3 linked regions of the Oryzias latipes genome follow. The protein of the gene in region 3 interacts with the protein of the main gene of each other region in a pairwise test. Links are inferred from orthologs where the notes say so. Each region holds a gene or a part of one and is shown on either strand. Other genes may lie near its edges. The genes, in order: DPY30 domain-containing protein 1, traf3ip1 and wac.

The links.
Region 1: the proteins of wac (region 3) and DPY30 domain-containing protein 1 interact in binary tests that used the Homo sapiens proteins (3 or more experiments, as listed by UniProt). The two-hybrid records come from large-scale screens. The link is inferred for Oryzias latipes from reciprocal best matches to the Homo sapiens genes WAC and DYDC1.
Region 2: the proteins of wac (region 3) and traf3ip1 interact in a two-hybrid assay, tested with the Homo sapiens proteins (2 studies listed by BioGRID and IntAct). The link is inferred for Oryzias latipes from reciprocal best matches to the Homo sapiens genes WAC and TRAF3IP1.

The regions. Positions count from the first base shown.
Region 1 is NC_019877.2:16,025,818-16,031,991, reverse strand, and holds DPY30 domain-containing protein 1, read left to right. Parts: upstream 1-2,794; 5' UTR 2,795-2,862; exon of another isoform or gene 2,863-2,922; intron 2,923-2,981; 5' UTR 2,982-3,005; coding exon 3,006-3,155; intron 3,156-3,731; coding exon 3,732-3,851; intron 3,852-5,610; coding exon 5,611-5,805; intron 5,806-5,912; coding exon 5,913-5,924; 3' UTR 5,925-6,044; downstream 6,045-6,174. UniProt on the Homo sapiens protein: Functions as part of axonemal radial spoke complexes that play an important part in the motility of sperm and cilia. Plays a crucial role during acrosome biogenesis.
Region 2 is NC_019879.2:26,414,190-26,419,732, reverse strand, and holds part of traf3ip1 (TRAF3-interacting protein 1), read left to right. Parts: intron 1-1,463; coding exon 1,464-1,551; intron 1,552-1,720; coding exon 1,721-1,801; intron 1,802-2,210; coding exon 2,211-2,346; intron 2,347-2,426; coding exon 2,427-2,463; intron 2,464-2,554; coding exon 2,555-2,631; intron 2,632-5,543.
Region 3 is NC_019878.2:7,914,587-7,919,181, forward strand, and holds the end of wac (WW domain-containing adapter protein with coiled-coil), read right to left. Parts: intron 3,717-4,595; coding exon 3,524-3,716; intron 3,448-3,523; coding exon 3,320-3,447; intron 3,234-3,319; coding exon 3,164-3,233; 3' UTR 1,922-3,163; downstream 1-1,921.

The sequences.
Region 1 (6,174 bases), on a different chromosome or scaffold from region 3:
AAGATGCCAAATCAGTCAATTTCACTCCCCAAAGGGGAAGCGTAAAAATAAACTCCAGAGCACAAAAGCGCACTTAACCATTAAAGACCCCACAGCCTGCTACCTGATTTACATGAACATAAACAGCAGGCAGGCCAAGTGAGACGTTACCTTGCGCAATGAGTATTTTCACGGAATCTTCCAAACTTGGGGGGGAAATATTAGCGACAATAGAGTAATCCTTTGGTGCCTCGAGTGTGCGCGAACTTCTGCCCCCGTGGCAGCCGGGGTGAGACCTCAGGACAGCTGTTGCTGACGCAAAGGCGCGTCTTGGAGTGAAACAGGAGGACTAGCTCCAGGTATGATCAGGTTCAACAACAGGATTAATCCCCACCGGTTCCCACACAGCTGGTCGTGTTTGCAGTCACAAGACAGCCAATGAATGAAGGGGGTCCAGTCTGAAGGGCTGTTGCTGCCACTGTGGAACCTCACCATGCACCTTCACAAAGCTCTTCCTGCAGATTAGAAGTATTTTTTTTTTATCCTTAAAAGTTTCTGGTTATACAAAATGATTGTTTTATGTATAAATTAACACACTGGGAAGATTTCCAACATTTATGCATATCACCTATTCTTGGGTATTTGTGTTGTGATTTCTTTAGAAAATATGAGGAAAGTCCCACCAGCAGTGTTTTGGTCTGTGATCCTGACAGATAATTGAGTAAAGACAATACATGTTCAATTTGACCACTTTGGATCATTTACTGACAGACATAATAAGTAATCTCCAGACTGTGACCGAATGCCCTCTTACATTTGCACCCCCAAAGGGAGACTGGGTTTGATAGTTGTTAAAAATATACAATTAAAAACTTGACACACGTTCCATAAAAGAGAAGGTTAAAATAAAGACAGTTGGACCACACTCCAGCACCGCATGAGGGAGGCTGCCTCCAGGATCGCCTCGGCCCCACTGCACCGGTGGGTAGCCACGACGACCACCACCAAGGGAGATCTCTAATCCAAACCCTCACCAGGAGTACCTGCTCAGGGCCCAAATTCACACAAACACACCACAACCCAAACAGTGATTAAAAGAAAATACAAAACAGAAGAGGTGCAACTGAGCAGGACACCACTAATTTGTAGGCCGGAAATGGGGGGGGGGGGGAAATCCCCCTTACACAATACTACACATGGCACCCACCAGCTACCGTAAGGATAAAGGGAGGAGGCAGCCACCTCCAGCCAGGTCCAACCACCAAGAGACTAAAATGAGCAAACAGTTTAAAAAAATGGATAAGAGCAAGGGTGTCAAGCTTGATTTAAACATTAAAAACACTAAGCAAAACAGCAGTGGCAACTCTGCTGGAAAAAGAAAAATAAGTTAGTTCTCCCTGGGACAAATACATGTTTACAAACCCTTATGTTACCGCTCATGCCCCAGGGTCAGAACTCATGCCACCACCTGTTAATATAAATAGAATTTAAAATGTTGCAAACTCAAATGCTTAAAAAACTTTTGTAAAAGGACTCAAATGATTAAGCTTTAGCTTAAAAAAAAAAAAAAAAAAAAAAAAAAAAAAAAAAAAGCCCACATGTCAAGCTCACCCACCAAGGCCAAACCAGCATCTAGGTGGAACTCACAGCTGCTATTTATCAGCCTCATGAGCCAATCACAGCTCAACAGACAGGTGCTGGCCATGAATATTAACCTATGGAACACCACGAGGGACAAACTACCACCCACAGCCCTGTCTGTCATATAACGATAAAACAGGGATAAAGAGGGAGTTTCCAACTGAGGTCTGTTTCTAACAGTTTGTTTAAAACAAGGTTTTTTTTTATAATGAGACTGCCACTCTGTAAATAACAGAACCAAAAAAAAATCCAAACAATTGCAAAAATCCCAGTGCAAGAAATTGTAATGTAATATGGAGGGGAAAAAGATGAAAAATATATATAAGACATTCTAGACATGTATCTTTCTCAGTTATTATAAGTGGCAATTTCTCCCATTTTTCTACTTAAACATATTACCAAATGGCCCACTTTTTAAGGACAGAACAGTTTATCATAACAGTAGATAAAGCCATTGACTGTACAATAGGACATTATGTTTTAATATATCTATTATGCAGTCAGTAAGACTAACAGGGTCTGCGCCACCTAGTGGTAAAAATTTCGTAAAAATGCACAAATCACATTTTTCTTTGAGTGTGAATATAGAATCTTCCAACAATTTTATTTCTGCTTTTATTAAATAACTATGTAGTAGCATCTGCACCATTTAGATTAAGATAACTATTAGTTTTATGAATTCCTTTTTTAACATAGTCTTTTGAATTATTCCTCCCCCAATTTCTGACATTCTGTGACTGATGTCTCTTTCTGCTTCATAACACATTGAAGCAAAACTTGTAAAGATGCAAAAGAATTTTAATATTGTTTTATTGAGTTTAACTACTGGAAAGCAATTTAAAACACATCTCAAAATGATCACTTTCTCGTCAAAATATTTAATCTGTTTCACAAATACTATTTTGTGCGTCTGTGTATGGGTGTGTGTATGAATGACAATGAGGTTTTTTCACAAATATTTCTTTTTGTCTGTAGTTTTTTTTGGGGGTGTTATTAATATAATTGAGGATTATTATTATTATTATTATTATTATTATTATTATTATTATTATTATTATTATAAAAATCATCATCACCATCATCATATTTATAGTAGTAATAACAATGCCTGAAACAACCAATGGTTGCATTATAGAAATGACATCGAATACAAAGCGGAACTAAAAAACGGTTGGGAGACTTTAAACTGTGTGGGACCGTTACCACGGAGATGCAACCGTCCGCATAAAACAGTAAAATACGGTAATTTCCGTGTTAATTTTGGCTAATTTGTGCAGGTTTTATCCATAAAATCGCTTTCAGGTCATTTTTGTTCGTCATTATTGCCTTAATAGCTCCGAGCCTCCATATTTGCTCTGTAGATAAACAATCAGAAAACGTGTAGCATGATGGATTCGGAGTATCTTAATAAACATCTGGGGAAATGTTTGGCTGAAGGACTTGCTGAAGTGGTTGAACGGAAACCCGTGGACCCTATCCTTTATTTGGCCCACTGGCTGTACAAGTATAACTCAAATACGCTGTACGAGAAGAAGGTGAGTCGTTTTGTTGTTTTCACCAGCAGGGGGCACTAAAGGATGCAAACACAAAAGTTGTTGATTTACAGTGTTTTTAAGCATTACGTGGTTTACTTTTCCGTGTTTTCCATTTACAAAACGCTATAAAAACATAAAGTGATTGCATATATCATAATTTTTTTGAAACGTTGTCTTGCAAATGCAGTGCTGAATTAGAAACTATTAGAAAAGTGTGTAAACACACCAACCATAGTGTCATTTTTTTTTTAAAATGATGGATCTAGATTTTGCACTCCAGCTGCTTCTGATTATACCCATGTTGTTGCATGCCGTCAAACAGGTTTTAAGAGGATAACAGTGTTAGAGCACGTAAACTCATTATGCTGCAGGATGTAAAATAAGTAGGGCCTCAACAACAAAGACTCACCTTTTACCTTTAACACAGAAACTGTCTGTACCTCTACTGACACACAGCTGAGCCCTACTTAAAACAAAATGAAAGTTTAAACATTTTATGGTTTATATAAGATGTATACTTGTAAACTTTAGACTTGTAAGCTTAGATTTGTTCCTGTATCACCTTTGTATTTGCAGAAGAAGGCAAGTCTGGCTCTGCTGGATCAAGATCAGGAAAAAAGCAGCCAAGAAGCATCACATCAGGAAAATCTCACAGAAGAGGAGCAGATCAGTAATGCATCAAAAGGCACAGAGAAAGTACTTTCTCACTTTCTATTGCTAACTTAAAAGTATTTGATTTTAAACATCCTGAATGCATAGCTGACATTTTTAAAGACCTACTCTAACCATCTTTTGATCTATTTTCACAGAATTCCCAGTGGTCTTGTAATTCAAATTCAACTTTACTTGTGCACCACTTTTTCGACTACAAAGCCTCTCAAAGTGCTTTCCATAATAAAATAGATAATTGTAAGATAAAAAACAGTAGTTAAAATAGCAAACATAGTAAAAATAATAATGATAAAATAAAATTAACAACATTAAAACACATACAGACCCAAAACATACACATCCCACAGGTACAATCAAAATGAAGCGCATCAATTGCTGATAAAATTTATAAAATCTAATGAAAACATGTTGACAAGTAAAAACTACATAAAGGCTTTACTAAAAAAATGAGTTTTAATTTTTTTCTTAAAAACCTCCACAGTGGATGAAGCCCTCACCTGCCTGAGGAGACGTTCCACATGGAAGGCCCACAGTACTGAAATCAGGCCTCGTCGTGGGTTTTTGTTCTGACTTTTGGGACCACCAGCACACCTCCACCTGTGGATCTAGGAGGGTCATAAACTAAAAGTAAATCTAATAAAAAAATGAGGGGCCAACTCCATTTAAACTTTTAAAAACAAATGAAAAGAACTTTAGAATCAATCCTAAAGCTGACTGGGACCCAGTGGAAAGATTTCAAAATATTTCTTTATTTTTTTTCTTTAGCACTGCAATAGCCTGGTTTGTTTAGTCACAGGAACAATTCAAGCTGGCCATCTCACCATTTGCAGGAAACGTTCCCAGCTAGGTTAATTCACAGCTTTGCTGGGCTCAGGTGAACGTCGCGTCTGCGACTATGATTGTGCCGTATCAATCAATTATGAAGATTTTAGTCAAAAATCTAAAATCTGTGGTTTTCCGGGACATAGTTTCTACAGAGCAGTAGTAGTTCATCAGAAATATGCCTCTGATTCGTGGGTGGTTTGACCCCTTCCCCCCTTACCGGTACCAGTATTTTGAAACCCTCTCCCGTTAGCTTACAGCCCCTCACACCCACCTAACATGACTGGTGCAACAGAAATGGTGAGCAATACCGGAGCTGTTCAGATGTACAGTTTTGAACCACATGCCAGCTTGGACGAAGAAAACGCCGACGTACCTGGATACATAACAAATATGATCTTTTTCAAACTGCATTTTTTTGTTTGCTCCCAATTAACAACAATTTGAAAAAAGAGGTACTTAAAAATACAATTTAGAGCTTAACTTTCTTTTCATATTATGTCCGCCATCATGACATCTTTTGAATATCAGGCCATTGTTTTTAACAACATGTTAAAAACACAGTTTTCATCAGAGTGGGTCTTTAAAGGCCTAAAACTTTAACCCCCCTCTGAGGAGCCACAGATTAGCTCAGACACTAGAGACAGACGCTGAGACAGACAGCACTATTCAATAGTTAAGCATCAGGAGGCAAATGGGCAGCGCATGAGGGAGGCTGCTGATAAAATCGACTCCAGATGAGTCACGCACACTGCAGAGACAGAATTAAGGAATCTACTCCAGCGTTACAGGCAGGATCTGCACATTGATTCTTAAAAAATGCTGTATAATACAAGTTTGAAATACATTGCAGTCTGCTTTAATAAAACAAATGCTTTTAATAGTTCTTATGTTGAGCTAAAAGTCCTAAAACTCTTCAAAAAATGTGTTTTTTAAATGTAATTTCTTTACTTTTTCTTAGACTGATGATGTGGAAACTGAGAAACTTGAAGATGTCATCCGGTCCTCGTCAGTGCTCCAGAGTGAAGATGCTCAACCCGATGAGACAATTCACCATGAAAAAAAAGAGGAAGACATAACTGACCGCAACCATGAAGAAAAGGAGGAAGAGATGAGAGAAATCAAAGCAAGTCCATCTCCTATCGGTCTAGAAAAGGTAAGTATTTGTTGTTTTTCTCAAATATTTGGTACATCAAAATGTGTGTTCAAAAAGTACAGAAAGGAGCAAACGTTTGCTGGTATTTACTGGACACTTTATTGCAGGAGGCTGCATGATGGAAATTTTGGACCAGTAAGTCATTGGAAGGAACCAGAAAGTCATCAGAAGACTGCCGGAATATGACAGCAATGACGGATCACAAGATAAATAAATAAAAAGTGCTATTTTTTTCCTGATATCTTTGTTTAACATTTTGATATTTTATTTTATTGGAGTAAATTAAAAATGAGTTAATATTGTTTTTGTTATTTAGATCGTATAAAAAATTGCCACCTCACTGTTTCACAATAAGCATGAAAGGACAAA
Region 2 (5,543 bases), on a different chromosome or scaffold from region 3:
ATGATGCTGAAGATCGGTTCTCCAACTAGAGACCATTTTTTGATTAAATGCTTGATGGTTCCTTGTAGTTCAGCCCTAATATTATTTATAGTAGTGATTAGAATCACTGAGAAACAAAATGTTGTTATTTAGATTAAGCAAAGGTGAAGACAAATACAGAAACATATTAAAGGAAATTTTACCACAATCCCTTTGGGTCTGTTTAGTTTTAGGTTTAGCTTTTTTTACTATAGAAGTACCTTCTCATTCAAATGAATGAAAGTATGTCCAAACCTTTGGTCTGTACTGTATGCGCCATTTACCATTTACATTTTCTAACGGTTAATAAACTAAAGACCAAAATTCTGCATTCCATCGTTTGTGAAAAATCGTGTTCTTTATGTTCCTGGACATTATGGGTGGATGGAGGAGGGTGTGGTCAAATAGATGATCTATTTTTCTGCACTTTAGCTCCTAGTAGTATTGCCATTAGCTGCATCATGAATTCAAATATTTCAAGAGCAGCGTGTTTAAAGATAATAGAAGGGAAAATGTAACTGATGTCGTTCTCCCAACCGATATATTTACGTTAGATCTGTGAACATATCACATGTGAACTAGCAGCAGAAGAAAACTGCTCCAGATGCAGAATATAGTAAGTCTGGCATAACTGAATATGTGTGCCATAGGTGGACATGAAATATATCCAGAAGACAACACTTCCTGGTTGGATTAGTCTGGTTGTTTGGATGTGTCAAACAGGAGGGACAATCAGAATTTAGCATAGGCATCTTGAACTTTCAAAGTTTTTTTTTTTTTTTTAAGTAATCACAAGACAGAATAAAAAATGTTCCTCAATAATATGCTAATATTAAAATTTTGAAGGTCATTAGTTTTTAAATGTAGATATAAATTATGCAGCCACAGGATTAGCAACAACCGTGGGACCAAAATTATTTGTTTAGTCTCTGACTTTTTAAGTTATTCCAGAGACGGGATAAAAAAAAAAACAATTCACAGTGGAAGATTTTTAAATATATGTAGAAAGTGCAGACAGTAAGTGGTAATAATGGTTGGGAAGAGGTCAAACGTAGATGGGTCTCTACCAGGTTTGCATGCACTCTAGATTTTGGTCCATTCTTCTCAAGAGCTGTGATGTTTTGGGGCTGTTGCCACAGCAACACAGACTTTCAACTCCTTGCTGAGGTCCAGAGACCGACTAAACCACTGCAGAACCTTGGAATGCGCTTTACGTATCCACTCCTTTGTTGAAAAGCTGTATCTAGATTTTACTCCTTTAATGTAAGTTCAATCTCTGCAGGTTTACAAAGAAGAGATTTGGGTATATCTGAAGTTTCTATCATTTATAGAGAGTCTAGGACTTTGCAGTACATTAAGTGATCCTAAAGTCCCTTTTGCTAACACAGGATCTGTGGAGATCTAGCATTATAATCTGACTAACGCTCCACATGTTCTACTGACAGATGAAGATCCACGTTTTGCCCAAAGTTCACATCCTCAGGAAAATGGGAACACTGTGGGATCCTCCATGTCATCTGACATCAACAACAGGTCTGTTCACTTCATACATTACACTTTGACCTGCCATCACTCAAGGGACACATGTAAACATCTCACAACCCAAACTTTGATTTGTTTGAAAGAAACTCCCAGAGTACATATTTGCTTATTTTCTGTTTTATTTTTCCCTTTGTAATTATGTATTTTTATGGTAAATCAGTAGGCTGATGGCCCGACCGGGCAGTGCACGGTTTCGTGTCAGGAGACAAGAGAGTCATGCTGACGCCCCCCCATCAGAGAGGTAAACCTGACGTCACTCGTGGCATCCAGTACTCACGGTTTTCACGTTTATTCTTAAATGGCGTATACTTATATAGCGCATTTCAAGGCCCAAAGCGCTTTACAGTCACATTCACTCAGACACACACATTCACACACACACATTCACACACTGGTGGCGGCTCTGCTGCCGAACACTGGCGCCAACCTCCCACCAGAGTCAAGGTGGGGTTCAGTGTCTCTCATGGGCGTGCAAGGCGGGAATCGAACCTGCAATTTCATTATGGGTCGACCGCCCCACCGCTGCACCACGGCCGCCCGATTCTTAGTGTTTGTCCTACTGAAAAGTAATCAACCAAATAAATTAGAAGCAGGTTCAGAAAACACTGTCTAAAATGCGCTTGTAAATAAGCGAAGCTCCTGTTTTGAAGGCTGTCAAGTGCCAAGCCCAGAGCACCTGTCATCATGGACGGGAAGAAGATGTCAGACGATGAGGAGGAGGATGACGAGCAATTCCTCGTGGAGGAGGCACCCCCTCCACCCCTCAGCGTTCCTGAGAGCGATCGAGTAGGTGCCTCACATGTCAGTTTGAACATAGGGAGACTGTTTGGATTCTTATTTCTTTATTTTTTATTTCCCGTTCACAGGAACCCGCTCGAGAACTGGACAGTGAGGAGGAGCACGGTACACCGTCAGACGTTTCTGCTTCTCCTTTCAAAGCACAGCGTGCCACGTTTACCTCAGAAATTGAATGTTTCTGTTTCTGTCTCCCCAGGGGGCCTGGTGAAAAAAATCCTTGAGGTCAAGAAGAACCACGAACTGCCCCATTCCTCCCTCAGATCTAAAGAACAGGTTTGTGGACGGTGTAGTCTTTCTGTCTCCACTAGAGGGCAGTACGGGTTCTAGTTCTTTAAGTTTTGTCATTTGTTTGAGCTTTTCTCTCTGTGAACTTTGCTTCCAATGAACCAGTAGCGGTTTTAGGCACGGGCCATACGGGCGATCGCCCGGGGCGGAAAAATGACGGAGGGGCGGCGCCAGCGGCTCAGCTCTTGTAAAATACTTTATGCATCACTATTGGTTTACTTATATCACAGAGTTTGTAACAGCCTGAAACCTGGCGGCGCCCCCGCCCCGCAGCTGCGCTCCCTGCTGTCTTTGAGAAGTAGACGCAAATGTGTGTGAGAAGGAGAAGGGAGGGGGCGCGGGGTGAAGAAGGAGAAGGGAGGGGGCGCGGGGTGAAGGGTGCAGGCTGAGGTGAGCACGGAGCACAAAACGCATGCGCAAACCTGGCTGGATCTTCTTCCAGGGGGGCAACGGTCGCGGGCCGCGGCTCAGTGCTTCATGAAAAAATAAAAATAAAAATTGCGCCGCCATGTAGCGAATTGGCGCCCCTGGGTGCAGCTGCACGCGCTCCTGCTGGAAATGTTTGACGAACGGGAGGGGGGGGGGCTGCGGGTATAAAAAAAGTATAAAAAAATCATGCTTTTTTGGTTATTTCAAATAAAAAATGGGGAAACAAAAAAAAAATTCTTCACTTAGATGACAGTTGGTTTAGTCGACAGACTTGATACCTATGTCAGGACATTTAGGCTAAATGCAAAAACATCTGAAATATGGAGAAAAAAGGTCAAAGCTGGTGCCCAATTTAGAAAGAAAAGAGAAGAAGAGGAGAAAAGAGACAAAGAAAAGGGTATTATCGCATAGCTAGATGCACGTTTTCTAAATTCGAATGCTACCTGCCCTACAACAACAACAACGTTGCAGAGGAAAAATCTCTTGTTTGGTCTATCATGACCAAAACTGAAGTAGGCCCAAATATTGCAAATAACGTCATTTTTAAGATATTTATTCTTAAATGTTTGCTCTGCCTTAACTTGTAACATTAGTTATGATTCGTGTGTCTGTCTGCTCTGCTGTAACACAAAGTTTTTGTTGTGTTTTATTGTTGTATATTAGTTCATAATGTTAAATAAGCTGTGATGGTAGCATGCTGCTGCTGCTGCTGCTGCTGCTGCTGCTGTTAGCTTTTCAAAACTCCAGTTGATCAAGTCATACCTGAGATCACCAATGTCTCAGGAGCAACTCACTAACCTGCTGTTGTTAGTATCAATCATTCAGGGGGGGGAGCAGATTTCATTTGATGACGTTATTGACAAGCTTGCATCAGGAAGGCCACAAAGGTTAGGTTTTAGTTAGTGTTTTCTGTTCTTAGTGCTGCAGTTACATTTATTCTAGTGTATTATTAGTGTGATTTGTAGTTTATAATATTTATTTCAGATTGTTTGTGTTTATTAAATATTTCCTAACTGTATTTTCAGTTACAATAAATGGACAAAGTGACTCTATGGGGGGGGGGCGCTAGAGGAGGGCCTCGCCCGGGGAGTAATTCAGGGTAGAACCGCCACTGCAATGAACCCTTTCCAACCAAGTGCAACATTGGCATTTACTTAAAAAAAAAATGAAAAAAAAGGTAAACAAACAGAGTAAAGAGGTGTAATTGCAGTTCCCTGAAACCTCAGAAATGTTCTCCTCCAGTGAAGCTGAATTGCTTATAACCAGACAGGTTAGCATGGCCCCTAACAAACCACACACAATTGATACACACATCTAGATGTCTGGAGCAAAAGGAGCTTGTTTCCTTGGGTTGCTCAACTTTGAGGTATGCCTATTTATTTTCTTCATTTATATTCTCGTTAGAGACTTTCCTGTTTTGTGAAAAAGTATTTGACATCTTGGGAACAAAGTTTCTTTGTATTCATCCTTTTTTCTCTGTGAGGACTATACAGGAAAGGACATTTTTTCCCCTCTGTTACAAATATTTTTTCAGGACTACAGTTCCTGCTGGTTTCGCGAAAATTTCCAGGAGGAAATATATAGAATTGTAACTTGGACCCATTATAAGAGAAGAACCACACAGGAAATCATTCACAAGTTAGGAAATATGGAACGTAATATGTTTTTCCCTTGGTTTTGGTGAAAGAATCTGCCAATGGAACTAGTAGAATTTGTCTTGGTTAGAGTTTTTAAAATAAAAATATAGAATAGAACATATAGAAATGTATATAGAAATGTATATTCAAACCTAATTTTGTTTATATATGTTCTCCATCATGAAAAAAATGCCAATCATCTCATAGTGATAGTGAAATTGCACATGTAAGGATCATTTTGGCTCAAACATTACATACTAGGGTTATTAGTCAAATGAAACTTTCCAGTTTTCTTAAATGAAGCAGGACTGTTTTTTGAAACAAACTCACCATCCACAAACGAAGCGTAAAAATGTAAAGGAAAAACAAATCTTGTTTAATTGGACCTTTTGCTTGAAATGCGATGTTTTCAAGATCAAATATCTTAAGATAATCAAGATTTATTATCCTTAAACAAGTTACTTCTTTGTGAAAAGTTACTATTAAGTTAGTTTTTTCCATTGATTGTATTTAAGAACTGGATGGAGTGAATGACTTACAATGAAATGAAGCCAATTCAGTCACCCTTTTGGAGGCAGACATGAGCCAGCAGTGATTGGCTTGAGTTGGTTCGAGTCAACACTTCTTTGGCAACCACTCTCTCCAATTAGAAGTGAGCTTGTTGAAAGTCCACACCTGCCACTTGAAAGGGGGCTACATGAAATCTGTCGTTTGACCAGCAGGCACCACATACTTTTATTGAGACCTCCGTCAGTTTATAACTTGAATAACTTGCACTACAGAAAAAGAATATCACGAGAAAAATCAATCGAACTTTATTAATCCTAACAAGGG
Region 3 (4,595 bases):
AGGATGAGACATAATTGTCCACATTTTGGATTTATCACTTTGTAATAGAACTGCATCGCTCTGGTAAGTTTACAACAAGGGAAACTGATGAAACTTTAAATTATTAAAAACAATACCAGTAATTTTTTCAAATTGATTTTTATATCAGTCAGCCATACCCTGAGCCACCCTGGGGTCACACCAAAATCCACCCATGCTCCTCGTGTAAGTGTAATAAGCTGCAACAACTCAAGAGTCAGGAATGATCCTCCTAAACGTTTGCACACGATAACCTTAGCATACAGCTCTGCTGCATTATGACCCAAGCCTAGTTCCTATATGTTCCTGCCATTCAAAGGTTAACCTATAAATATATAATAATTAATGCCCAAATGACAAAACAATCCCAGAATCTACATAGTATCTTTTGGATTGATTTGTTAAAAGATTTTAATTCATTATTAGGGCCACTGAAAGCTGTGATTAGCACAAACTGCCAGTAGATGTCACCAAAGTACAGGTCAGCATGTCTGTGATCTATGATACCTCCTGACCTTCAGGTGAATTAAAGCTTTACTCACAACTGCCCTTTAGGGTGGATAGGGCTGTCTGCAGGCAAAAAAGGGGGGCAAACCTGGTAGGGGCATGGGGGGCAGCCTGCATGGTACAGTAAGCTTAATTATGTTTATGCACATTTCTCTAGGGGCATGCTGTGTGCTGTCTTAGCGAACACGTAAACAACATGTAAGGGCAAAACAAGTGACACGCAGGCGAAATGCGCAAGGAGCCCGTTTGAGCTGTACACGATAGGTGCTTGCACGTAGCCTGACTGGTAGAATTAAGGAAATTACACATTTTAGTTTGTGTGGACGTCCTACACTTACCCATCAACTGCACACGCAAGGTCAGTAAGGAGCCAGTACAGTTTCACTCATACATCATAAACGCGTGCAACTTACATTATCCTTCCAAATACTTCACAATACACACGACTATCATACATTCCATTTTTCATGACGTCCCTCAAGTTGGTTGTACGAGCCTCAAGGGAAACGCAAGACACACCTGTGCCTCTCTTAAGATCCCCCACAGGCTCGAACAACCAAAACACCGTGTGACCTATGTTCACACACCAGGAATGCCACGTGTTCTTGAACGCACTGTCAGCATATGGTGTTCACATTGGACGATCAAGGAGGGACCTATTCTTTTCCTAGCACTCAATAGCTCATGTCCGCCACCTACAGTTGGAAGAGGCTTGATACGAAATGTTGAAGTGGTGCACATTTCGTGAATCTTACTCCAGGTTTATTCTTTCACAGCTCTATTCTTATGTATGAAAGATTTGTCATAACTCCAGCCGGACACAAATCGCAATTATGAATTTCTCCTCCATGATCAATTTTCAAACGGTTAGGACTTCCATGACTTAAAGGGGACGCCCTCCATTCGTCACCACCAAATTGGTCATTGTGGTTTCACTGTAACCCTTGTGCTATCCTAGGCACTTTAACGTTGGGAGTTGGGTCATCTAGACCCACAAGACAGTGCGCCAAACCTTTTTTCTTCAATGATTTGTGAACTTCAATGGTGTCCATGGATTACATGAAATCTTTCCACCTTTATACACCTTTGACATGGTAGGGAGAACACGTCAATGTAAGGGTGGGGTCATCTAAGATAGCACAAGGGTTAAAGCGCACATTCCATGGCCATGTTTTAAACAAAGAACCCAAAAACGGCAGTAGAAACGTATGTAGCTATTCACGAACATGATAGTTTTGAACGCGGAAGCTCAAAATGCACGCTTACACAGACTTTTCATTGAAAGTGCGTTGCCGAGGACGCTGTGAACGTAGCTTCAGGCTTTAGTCATTTTCTCACAAACAAGAAAAAAACAAAATGAGCTGAAGCTCAAAGGAGCATTGAACACAACACTGCCTTGGAGAGGCATCCTTTATTTTTTGTCAATATATTTCAGGAAACATTATACAAAGCAATGACATGGTCAGCTCAACTAAATGTTGTGTTGGTGGGCATAAAGCAGCAGCTGACAGTGATGAATATGGGGGAGGAGCTAAAGGATATTGACTAAATCTGGGCCTTTTGATCCGGCGGGATGACAGCAAACATGGACCTGCGGGTGATGAGGCTTAAGACTTTCAACAAGGCACTAGCATATAAACCAAAGCAGACACTCCAACAAAACACTCAGCGCTCACTTTAGTTTAACATGTTTATTACATTACATACATTTCACATTTGAGCTTTGACCCCTGGTTGCCCTGCGTTCGACCGGAGAGGCGCCCCACCTCCACCCGCTTTTGAGCTCCTGACGGGTGATGCATGGCTTATTACTGCAACCCACACGTGAAAGCTGGCCTTCTCTAAAACCCCGCTGCTGTTAGCGACGGTACAAAGGAATGAAGACAGTCAGCGTGCAGAGCTGACGAACAAAAGGGAACAAAACGGAAAGAAAGGAGTTCAACTCCAAAGAGGTCTGCTGAGGGTGAAGGAATGGTCCAAAGCAGCACGCTCCTCGTTTGGAATCCATTGCACCACCAGGAACTGTCTTTTCGTCACCCGTCCTCCTCAAAGTGGGGCGCCAGAAACTGCTGACGGATCACTGAAGCGCTGTGAGCGTTTACAGAACACCTGCACGGAGGAGGCCTCCGCCCACACCCACAGGTGGGAGAGGATCTAAAAAGGTCAAACCGATGACCCCGGTGAGGCCAGCTCCTCCGTTCACGTTGGGCACGGCGCTTCAATGATCCGTGACGTGACAACGGAAGTCTGCAGATGAGTGACGGAGAGGCTGGCGCCTCGGCTGATTAGTCTGGATGTCAAAAGCTTTGATAGGCATGGCTTTCCATGGATTCAATCTACAAAACATATTTACAACATAGATAACATCTACAAGAAATCTACATGTTAATCCACCGTGGTTTTTTTTTTTTTTTTTTTACAAAAACACAGTCTTGTAAATCAGCCCCTCCCTGACCCCACCCACCACACCAGCAGCTCCTTGTCGCCCCCCTGTGGTCTGCCAGCAGGACTGCAGCTCCCGTGTGTTAAGACTGGGTTCGGGAGGAACCGTTTTTCTTGCCGGCTTCCTAGTATGTGCAATGACAACCCCGCTCCCCACAACCTCCGGACACCCCCCCAAACCCCCCACCAAAAGTTCTCACACCATGAAGGAATTCTGGTTCTTCAACTTTTCAAGTTCTTTGATTTGCTGTCTCAAAAACAATATCCTGTAAGGGAGGGGGCAGAAGAACAGAGAGCAGGAGTGAGATGGGGGGGTTTGGACGCAGCAACAGAAAGCGTGCGGACGACTCACCTCTGCTCGCGCAACGTCGCCTGAATTTCACAGACCCGGACGAGGGAGCGCAGGTTTTTGAGCTCAGTGCAGTTCTCCGACATGCATATGCTGCCCATGGTGTGAGCCTCCTCGCGGAGTCTGGACGCCTTTGGGGAGACGGAGGCAAACTTAAATGGGGCGGAGCCAAGAAGGAGGGAGGGGAGGTGTGCGGTGGACACTGACCTGCTTCTCCACGTGTTCTGCGGGCCAGCCCTGCACATGCTTGATGAGGCTCTCATTGAAATGGGCCGCAAGGGAGGGGGTGAAGGAACAGGAGGGCCGGGATGTAGAAGAGGCCGGGGGAGCGGAGGCGGAGTTGGGGGCGTTGCTGCTGGAGGCGACGTGGTTGGAACCTGGAGACGGACTCCTCTGACTGCTACATGGAGGGGAAAAAAACATGCAGTCATACAAGATGTTTCTGCAGAAGCTTTGAAACGGAGGAAAAAACCCACAACCCACAGTTCTGCCGTTTTATTTATATTCTGATTCTGAAGGAAGTTTTACTTTGGAAAACTACTGGATTCTCTCCACTACATCCAACTTATTCTTGATGCAAGTCCAATATCTGCAGCTGCTTTAAACTTTATTAGTACACTGGATTTTATGTGGGTTCCACTAAAATGAGACATGGAGCTTCCCTAACCCATAACTGCTGTCAAAGTAGAAGCTAAATAGAAAAAAAGTCTCCAGAACGGATATTCTCTAAATATAATTGAAGTGAATCCGCTCTGTTTTAGCAGCGTCCTTGTAGCGTTGAGCTGGTGTTACACCAAAAACTGTGAGCTGTCAGATGTTTTTGCTGAATCTCACTACCACCTTCCTCCTTCAGATTTAATGTAAATGATATATAATGACAAGATCAACATTATGCTGTTTTTGTTCTGATTTAATATGAAACCTGATCACCTGGAAGCAGAACAGGGAAATCTCTAGTAAATCTGTTTTTTGTTTTCTCAGCATGTTTGAATTAAAGTTTACAGTTAGATGAAAAAGACGTGTTTACAGCATTAATAAATTACTTTTATGCATTTTCATTTCCTTAAAAATATTCCGAATAGTCTGTGTAAAATAGTGTTACAATTTGTTAAAAATATACGTTTTTTTTATAATACAGTCAACTTGGTCGGTTACATAAAAATTACATTTTGCCCCAGTGTGTGGAGGTATTACAGTTACCGGTATTTAAAATCCGTACATAAGCAGAGTAACATGCACTGCAAGTTGTGCAGCATTATTAAATTTACAATCACTGGTT